Xenopus tropicalis: one gene and its partner. The protein of the gene in region 2 purifies or fractionates together with the protein of the main gene of each other region. This does not show direct contact. Links are inferred from orthologs where the notes say so. Each region holds a gene or a part of one and is shown on either strand. Other genes may lie near its edges. The genes, in order: pfdn5 and gnb1.

The links.
Region 1: the proteins of gnb1 (region 2) and pfdn5 purify together in Homo sapiens (co-immunoprecipitation; 3 studies listed by BioGRID and IntAct, with this or other methods). This does not show direct contact. The link is inferred for Xenopus tropicalis from reciprocal best matches to the Homo sapiens genes GNB1 and PFDN5.

What each region holds. Positions count from the first base shown.
Region 1 is NC_030678.2:147,137,544-147,141,970, forward strand, and holds the start of pfdn5 (prefoldin subunit 5), read right to left. Parts: upstream 3,060-4,427; 5' UTR 3,039-3,059; coding exon 2,967-3,038; intron 2,725-2,966; coding exon 2,622-2,724; intron 2,537-2,621; coding exon 2,505-2,536; intron 1,983-2,504; coding exon 1,908-1,982; intron 1-1,907. UniProt on the Homo sapiens protein: Binds specifically to cytosolic chaperonin (c-CPN) and transfers target proteins to it. Binds to nascent polypeptide chain and promotes folding in an environment in which there are many competing pathways for nonnative proteins.
Region 2 is NC_030683.2:91,940,200-91,944,022, reverse strand, and holds part of gnb1 (guanine nucleotide-binding protein G(I)/G(S)/G(T) subunit beta-1), read right to left. Parts: intron 1,830-3,823; coding exon 1,667-1,829; intron 1-1,666. UniProt on the Homo sapiens protein: Guanine nucleotide-binding proteins (G proteins) are involved as a modulator or transducer in various transmembrane signaling systems.

The DNA of each region.
Region 1 (4,427 bases), on a different chromosome or scaffold from region 2:
ACAGCCAGGCAAATGCTGCTTTCAACTGCAATTATGACTACAAACACTTAAAACCAATAAATTCTTCAAGAATGTATATTGTAAAGTTGCTTAGAATAATAATTTCCTTTACTGTGTAAAAAAATATTTTTGGATGAAGTGCCCTTTTAAGGGCTAAACTACACAGGAGATTTTGATGAGAATTTTTGGGTCAGATTTTGTGTGACCCACAAAATCTTGTCACGCAACAAGCACAATGTTTTGTATGATCCTGTTTCCGTGTCTATATCAGACATGTATTTTAATGAGAAAAAATCTCTTTCAGACACTATGAGATTTTGTCTGGTTGTATGAAGACACAGCAGGCAAAGTCGACTACCAAAAGGCACATTGCATCTGATGGCAAAGCTTTCATATAGTTTACACATCAGATTTTTCTATCAGTCCCATTATTTTTTAACCATGCAACTACATTCGACAGGATGCGATCTGTCAAACCAACACCATTCTACAAAATCTCATGTGAAGTTCAGCCCTAAGTTATACCAGTGGGTATATGTGCCCTGTAAAGGCAAATAATCACAATATGCCTTCAAAATTAACTAAGCTTTAATCATACCATATATCTTTCCGAATTCATGAATCTCCTTATATTAAAAACTTACACTACAAGTGCCCAGTGATACATTTATCAGAAACAGATACCTACAGATCCTGTCAGCTTAAAGTGCACTGCATTCATTATATTTTGACTGAGTAAAGATGGCCATACACGCACTGATGATACTGTACAAAACCTCGTTTTGTATGATATTTGGTGCGTGTATGGCAGATCGACAAGATGACCGTTATTGCAAAGGCTGCGGATATCGGTTGTCTCATCGCTCAGCCGGGTTAAAAGATTTTGACTGGGCGCCATTGAAGGCGCCCGAACAAAACCTGCGTTCAGGGCTGAACCGGCAGGTGGAGGTAGAATTCCTATTGTTTCTACCTTCACATCCGATGACTCTGAATGTCAGTGGGGGAAACGAACGATCTTTCCTGCAACTCATGGTCGCAGGAAAGATCGGAATTGCTACATGTATGGCCACCTTTAAAAATAAAATAACATCTTATCTTGGTACTCTGAAACCAAAATATGTATATATTATATAATATATATATATATATATATATAGTGGTTACAAAGCACACTGCTGTTAAATTGCTTAGCTTAACATCCTCTGCTGTAGGCCTAACAAATTCCTTGCAGAGAACTGCAGCTGCCTAAGTCTCCCACTTTGCAAGCAGACAGTTTAACAAAAAAATACTTTTTCTGGGGTAAAAGCACATAGGCCCAGGTTCACTAATATATATAATATATAATAAATATAAGTGCTTCAAGTTATTTTTTCAGTTATAATAAGTGCCATCACTTCTAGAGGTAAATTTCTCTGAGTGATATCAGCACCAAATTACCTCTAGAAGTGATATGGCTACATTGTTGTGAATGTATTGTGGTATGATATTAAAGGGCAACTAAGTAAGCAAGTGTGGATTATTATTTACCTATACAGGGCTTATGCATATGTACAGCAGCTTTACACAAGTAGTCAAATTTCCCTATTGCTGCTTTTCGCTTTCCTACTGGTCTAGCCAATGGTCTCTTGGGCAAAACTTGCACAAGTTCTGCCAATCTTAACTGCGAGAATAACCTGTGCATGTTCCAGAACACGCTAAATTTTAAAAAATAAAAATAAACCAGTTGCTTTTAATTCAACCAATAAAAATTAAATCTGTTTGTCACACCAGATGGTTTGAAGAGTAGCAATAATGTGTTATGTATAGTTAGAAATATACTAACAAACTTTTGCGCAAGAAAATGTTAACAGTAGGTTGCTCATCACAGTCACACCTTAAGCTAAAAAACAAACAAAAAAGTAGCTCACCTTTTCCACATAATATCCAGTACCCACATCGATCAGTATATTTGACACATCATTAAGAGTCCCAGGCACATACATCTACATGAAAGGTTAAGGGGGAAAAAACCCACACACCTACTGTTCTTCTTTAAACACTGTTGTGCAAATACTGGTTTTCTATTTTTTTTTGCTCATTAAAAGGGGAGTTCACCTTTAAGATAACTTTTGGTACATTGTACAATGGCCTATAATATTAGCAACTTTTCAATTGGTCTATATTTTGTATAGCCTGACTGACTGTATACAGTACATTTTTGTCCAAGTACCCAGGAAAAACACACCGTGCTGCTATTCTTGACATGTTTTTCCTACACTATAACAACCATCATCACACTCTTTTAAGCAGTCACCTAAGCAGTTTAGCCATTTAGTGTTTAAACTTTGGATAAAAATGCATTACTGTTTAGTAGATTTTTGACACTTAGCTTGCTACAGACTTACAACGTTCCTTACATTAATAATATAATAAACAAATAGAAGAGAACATACTTTAAAACTGGAAGCAGCTCACTGGTTTTGCCACCATATGGCTTTTTCATAATATAGTGATGAAAAGGATACAGAGCTGGTCAGGGGAACAAGCAGTTGCTTCCCTGTCAGATAAACACATACAGGTTATTAGAGAGAGGAACTAAGCCGACTGACACACCCTACTAACTGGCTGCCGCTGTCACTCACCTTCATTGCTTTTGTTCAGCACACTCAGGCACTCCTTTGCCTCCACATACTTGGTCTGAACCACCTTTAGCTGAGCGATGGAGGAGGACAGGAACTCCACTTCCTATGAAAGGAAAAGGCACATAAGGAAGGCCTTACTAACCCTGTAACCCCGGAGTATGAGCAACACCAGGCTGGGGCGGGACAGCAAAAGCTGCAGTGGGACTCTGGGAGTAAGGGATCCACAGCCACGGGGTGGCCAGAACTCATCCAAGCCAGTTGTGGGACACTACGTTTAGTCGTGGGGAAAAACCAACACAGAGGCATCCCCAATTTAAGACGGCAATGTAAGATTAACTAAGATACCTGGTCCAACTGACTTTTCAATCCCTCCAACTGCGGCAGAGACAAGTCGGTAATGTTCACTGTCTGCGCCATCTTGAGAGAGGAAGAACCCCGCCTTCCTACTACATTACTATAGTGACTGTCTAGCTGGGAAACCGTATATTGTTTGGCGCTCTGTACGCACGGCTAGCGCTCTATGATAGTCCGGAGGCTGCGACGCATGCGTACTAACATGTAAGGGACCGTGTACTTGGCAGATGGTCCGCTTGCTAACATGATATTTATAAATAAGTCAAATCGCAGAAATATATATATATTTTTTTTAGATTTTCTTTTTCTTATTTTGCAAAGAGAGGAATAAGTGCAAAAGTACACAAAATGCTATTGTTACATTAAACTACCTCATTTCTACCAGTAACATGGTATTTCAACAATCAATAGAGAAGAAAGAATAGAGGAACATATAGAGTAGGAAACAAACAGTAGGAAACGGAAGAAGAGAGACCCCCCCATAACAATATAATATTTTAAGAATCTATGCAGTAGGTTAAGCACTGTTTTTTAAGAAATTTTGAAATTCACTAAAAATTTACATTTTGCAGTCATGTATCACACATTCTTGTGTACAAAGAAAGATTAGCCATAATATGAATGCTCATACATGAAAATAGTACACATTAAAGTTCTACAGGCAAAAGCAAGTCATCAGGACAATGCAAAATGTAGTCACAAAAAAAATACTTTAACTTGACTTGCTGTTGTAGTGTCATCAGTCCCAGACAGTGTTGCATTTCTTAAAAAATACATAAAAATAAATACAAAGTAATGCCTTTTTGGTCTTTAGGCAAGTGAGGAGGAGGGAGCAGAATTTGTTTGGTTAGTTGGTGGATTTAGTTATTCCAAAAGAGAGTTTTCCACCCAACATTTAGTAAACCCGAATGGGGCTAATTGTTTGTGTTGTTTTCCCATTGACAAATGTGTCTAGGTATTTGTTCCAAACGCTATAGAACAGTGATCCTCTTGATTATTAATCTTGAAGAGCTAAGACCCACTGAAGTTGCACAGTATGTAGAAGCTTATGTTCTCGTAATTGCTTTGATGGGGGTTGTGTTGCTGTCCAACATTACGGGATTGATTTGACTGCTTTTAATACAAGTATTTCTGCCAGTCTAAGGTTACCTTTCTTAGCTTTATTGATGGGCTTCGGTATGACCCTAGAAGTATCTGTGGGTTACTGGAATGTTGCATAGCATATTAATTTGTGTTAAATCCTCTTCTTAAAAGGCATCTATTGCAGTGAAAGTTCATAGGACATGTTCTAAACTGCCTTCCACATGGGGGCAGCATTGCATTTCTTTTTGCATCTCCTTTTCAGAGTTGACATGCTTCAAAATACTGATTGTAGAATATGTAGAATATGTTGGCACTTAATAAATAAATGTTATTAATAATACTGCTCTCTTCACCAGTACTTCTGCCAGA
Region 2 (3,823 bases):
TCCTACCTAGGCCTGCCCCCCCTTGGATGCCTTAAAGCAGTGCTGTCCAATTGGCGGCCCGCGGGCCGCATGCGGCCCGCGACCCCCCTCTGTGTGGCCCCCCACCTGTCTGGCTGCTTTGATGGCTTACTCTTGTGTAAGCTCTAAGTGGTATCAGTACTGAGATTAACTGCCCCCCCTGCATGGTTCCCACCTCAGATTCAGGCTGTAATCAGGTTGTATTGTTTAAATATGTAATCCCCTGTGTTGTTCACACCTTTTAATCTCTGCATTGTTCACCCCCTGCAGTGTTCACACCTCAGGCTCAGGCTGTAATCACCCCCATTGTTCCCCTGTTCACACCTCAGGAGCAGTAGAAACCCACAAATAATCCCTGCACACTACAAAAAGAACATATACTGAGGTGGTACTTCAATTAAAAAGTTTTTTTAATATATAGTTATTGTGCAGACTGTAGGAGCAGTGCCAGCATTTTGTCACTGTAGGCTGCCTGTGGGTGCCATACACACAGGCATCATAGGGCAAGCAAAGTATGGTACACACAGGCAGTGTAGGGAAGGCAGAGTATGGCACACACAGGCAGAGTATGGCACACACAGGCCAAGTATGGCACAAACCAGCCAAAAATGGCAAACACAGTGAAAGTATGTCACACGCAGGCAGGGTAGGGAAGGCAGAGTATGGCACACACAGGCAGGGTAGGGCAGGCAGAGTATGGCACACACAGGCCAAGTATGGCACAAACCAGCCAAGAATGGCACACACAGTGAAAGTATGGCACACAGGCAGGGTAGGGAAGGCAGAGTATGGCACACACAGGCAGGGTAGGGAAGGCAGAGTATGGCACACACAGACAGGGTAGGGCAGGCAGAGTATGGCACACACAGGCAGGGTAGTGAAGGCAGAGTATGGCACACACAGGCAGGGTAGGGCAGGCAGAGTATGGCAGGTTTTTGCTGTACTACAACCATTAATATGGGTATGGTCATGTGATAACATGGGTGTGGTTTCAAGTGGGTGCGGTTTCAAAAAGGGGAGTGGTCAAAACTGGCTTCCATTATCGGCCCTCCACCACGTACGTCGGAAAAATTCCGGCCCTCGGTACAACAGAAGTTGGACAGCACTGCCTTAAAGCAATACAAGGGATTTGGATGGTTTCTTAAACAAGCATAATATCAACAGCTATTGTAATACTAAAATCTTCCAACTATTGCCTTAAATTAATACGGTCACAGGAAAATAGGTTTTTTTCAAAACACATCAGAATCACACAACAGAATTTTTCATTGAGACGGCTGCCTACACACCAATATTACAACTGTAAAAAAATACATTTCTTGGCTCAAGAATAACATTTTAAATGATAGAGTGAATTATTTGCTATGTAAATAAAAAACCATATAAATCATGACAGAATCACTTTATTGCCAGCCTGTAGGCTGCAGATACATTAGAGTCAATCTGAAATGTCACCTCAGCCAGTGCGAAAGTAGCAAATGTTATTCATAATGCCAGTGTATGAGCATTAGGAGGCAGCTGTGATGAGTTAATATGGTTAAGCTTTTGCCATTTACCAATGTCTTCAGTGGAACCTACTCATCAACAAAATATTACTAGGTTACACACTTATCAATAAGTTATTATAGTTAAACTTTAGAAGCCTTACCTGTATGCCCAGCCAATTCACGGCTCACCCGCACATTTCCTTCACGAGTTTTGAGGTTGTAAATAGAGCAGATGTTATCAAGACCACCACAGGCAACATAGTTTCCAGAGGGAGCATATGCACAAGTCATTACCCAAGAAGAACGCAGCGGGATGGCATGAACCTAAATGTGAAAAATTATCAAGGAGAGCTCATAAACACATTAAAAGGGAAATACTGATTCTCTGATTACAGGAAAATGATCAGATATAGGAGGGGAAAAAAACGTTATTTCTACCCCATGTTCAACTTTTTAGGCAATTTTCAACCACATTTTTGTTACACTACAACTCCAGTATTCCCAAACGCCAAAGCCTTTCAATGCTTATTGGTAGAGGTATGGGAACAGTTATCCGGAAACCTGTTATCCACAAAACTCCATCTTACTGAAAAGCCTGTCTCCCATAGACTCCATTTTAATTAAATAATTTAGATTTTTAAAATTAATTTTCTTTCTCTGTAATAATAAAACAGTACCTTGTACTTGATCCCAACTAAGATATAATTCATCCTTATTGGATGCAAAACAATTCTATTGGGTTTCATTAATGTTTTACTGTTTTTTTTTTTTTTTTTAGCAGACCTAGGGTATGGAGATCCAAATCACTGAAAGACCTCTTATCTGGAATACCCTTGGTCCCAAGCATTCTGGATACCGGGTCCTATACATGTACCTGTATAGTCTAGGTACAGCCTGAAGCATTTATATACTATCTACAACAAGAGTTAGAATTAGTGACACAATCACTCACAGAGAGAAAATGATTGTTACCAAGAACTGTGCATGAATAATGAAAATTAGCAACATTTATGCACACTCAAATATATATCAGTACTGAAAGGGCAACTAATGGTTTGTTCTTTTAATACAAAAATCATTCAAGTTAATTCCGACTCTTTCCAGCTTGCAAGTGCTTTCTATTTGTAAGGGTCAGCAACTACATGAGCAAGAAAAAAAACTCGTTATTAATTTTCCATTTTTACTAACTGCTATGGCGAGACCCCAGAAACCAGAGATCCTAAAATTTCAAAATAGAAATGTTGAATAATTCTAAGACTTCAAAAATGCAAAAAAATAAAACAACTACACGTTACTACAATCAAGTGAACTAACTTTCTTCTCTCCTGATAGTTAAAGTAACCCACAATGCGGATTACATCTCAACAATAATTATCTGAATTATACAGACTGTATAAATATTTAAAACAAGCCCACAAAGGATAAAGGCTAATGTGAAACCTACTGCTGGTTTACTCTAAATCTCAGTTTCTTTCCTGCACCAGTGAACTGTTAATTCAAAGGCTATGATGCTTCAAAGCTGATTGAAACCAGGCTGCCTAAAATCCAGCCAGAAGGCTGCACATAGTTGCACAGGATATCATAAAGTGTCTGAACACTGCACACCAACAAAGTGACAACTATAAGTTAGCTATGATTTTAAGAGGCATTTTTCTAAAAATATATTTAACTCTCTCCAAATAAGCAACTACAGGTTAAGCTAATCTAATTATTAAATACAACTACTGGTATGGGATCAGTTATCCAGAAAGCACTGATCACAGGAAGCCTGCCTCCCACAGACTCAAAATTTAATCAAATAATTCAGATTTTTAAATTGATTCCCCTTTTCTCTGCAATAATAAAGCAGTACCTTGTATATGATCCCAATAAAGATGCAAATTCTTATCGGAAGTAAAACAATCCTATTGGGTTTAGTTAATTGTTTAAATTATGTTAGGCACCCCCAAGTGACTTAAATCGCTTACCTTTTACACCAGGCTGGTGCCCCTGTTGGGAGAGATCAGTACCAGCCAGGGTAGCTGCAGCTCTTCATCCTTCCGTCATCGCGCGCATGCGCAGTAGAGTGAAAAGCCGAACTTTAACAGAGAAGTCGGATTTTCACTCTACTGCGCATGCGCCCGTCGTAAGTCCTTCCAAAAGCAAAGGCGGAAGGAGGAAGAGCTGCGCTACAGGTACCCCGGGCTGGTGCTGTTTTCTCCTAACAGGGGCACCAGCCCGGGGTACAAGGTAAGCGATTGGGGGTGCCTAACATTTTGGCACCCCCAAGTGACTTTGCCTTTCCTTGTCCTTTAAGGTATGGATTCTGGATAACAGGT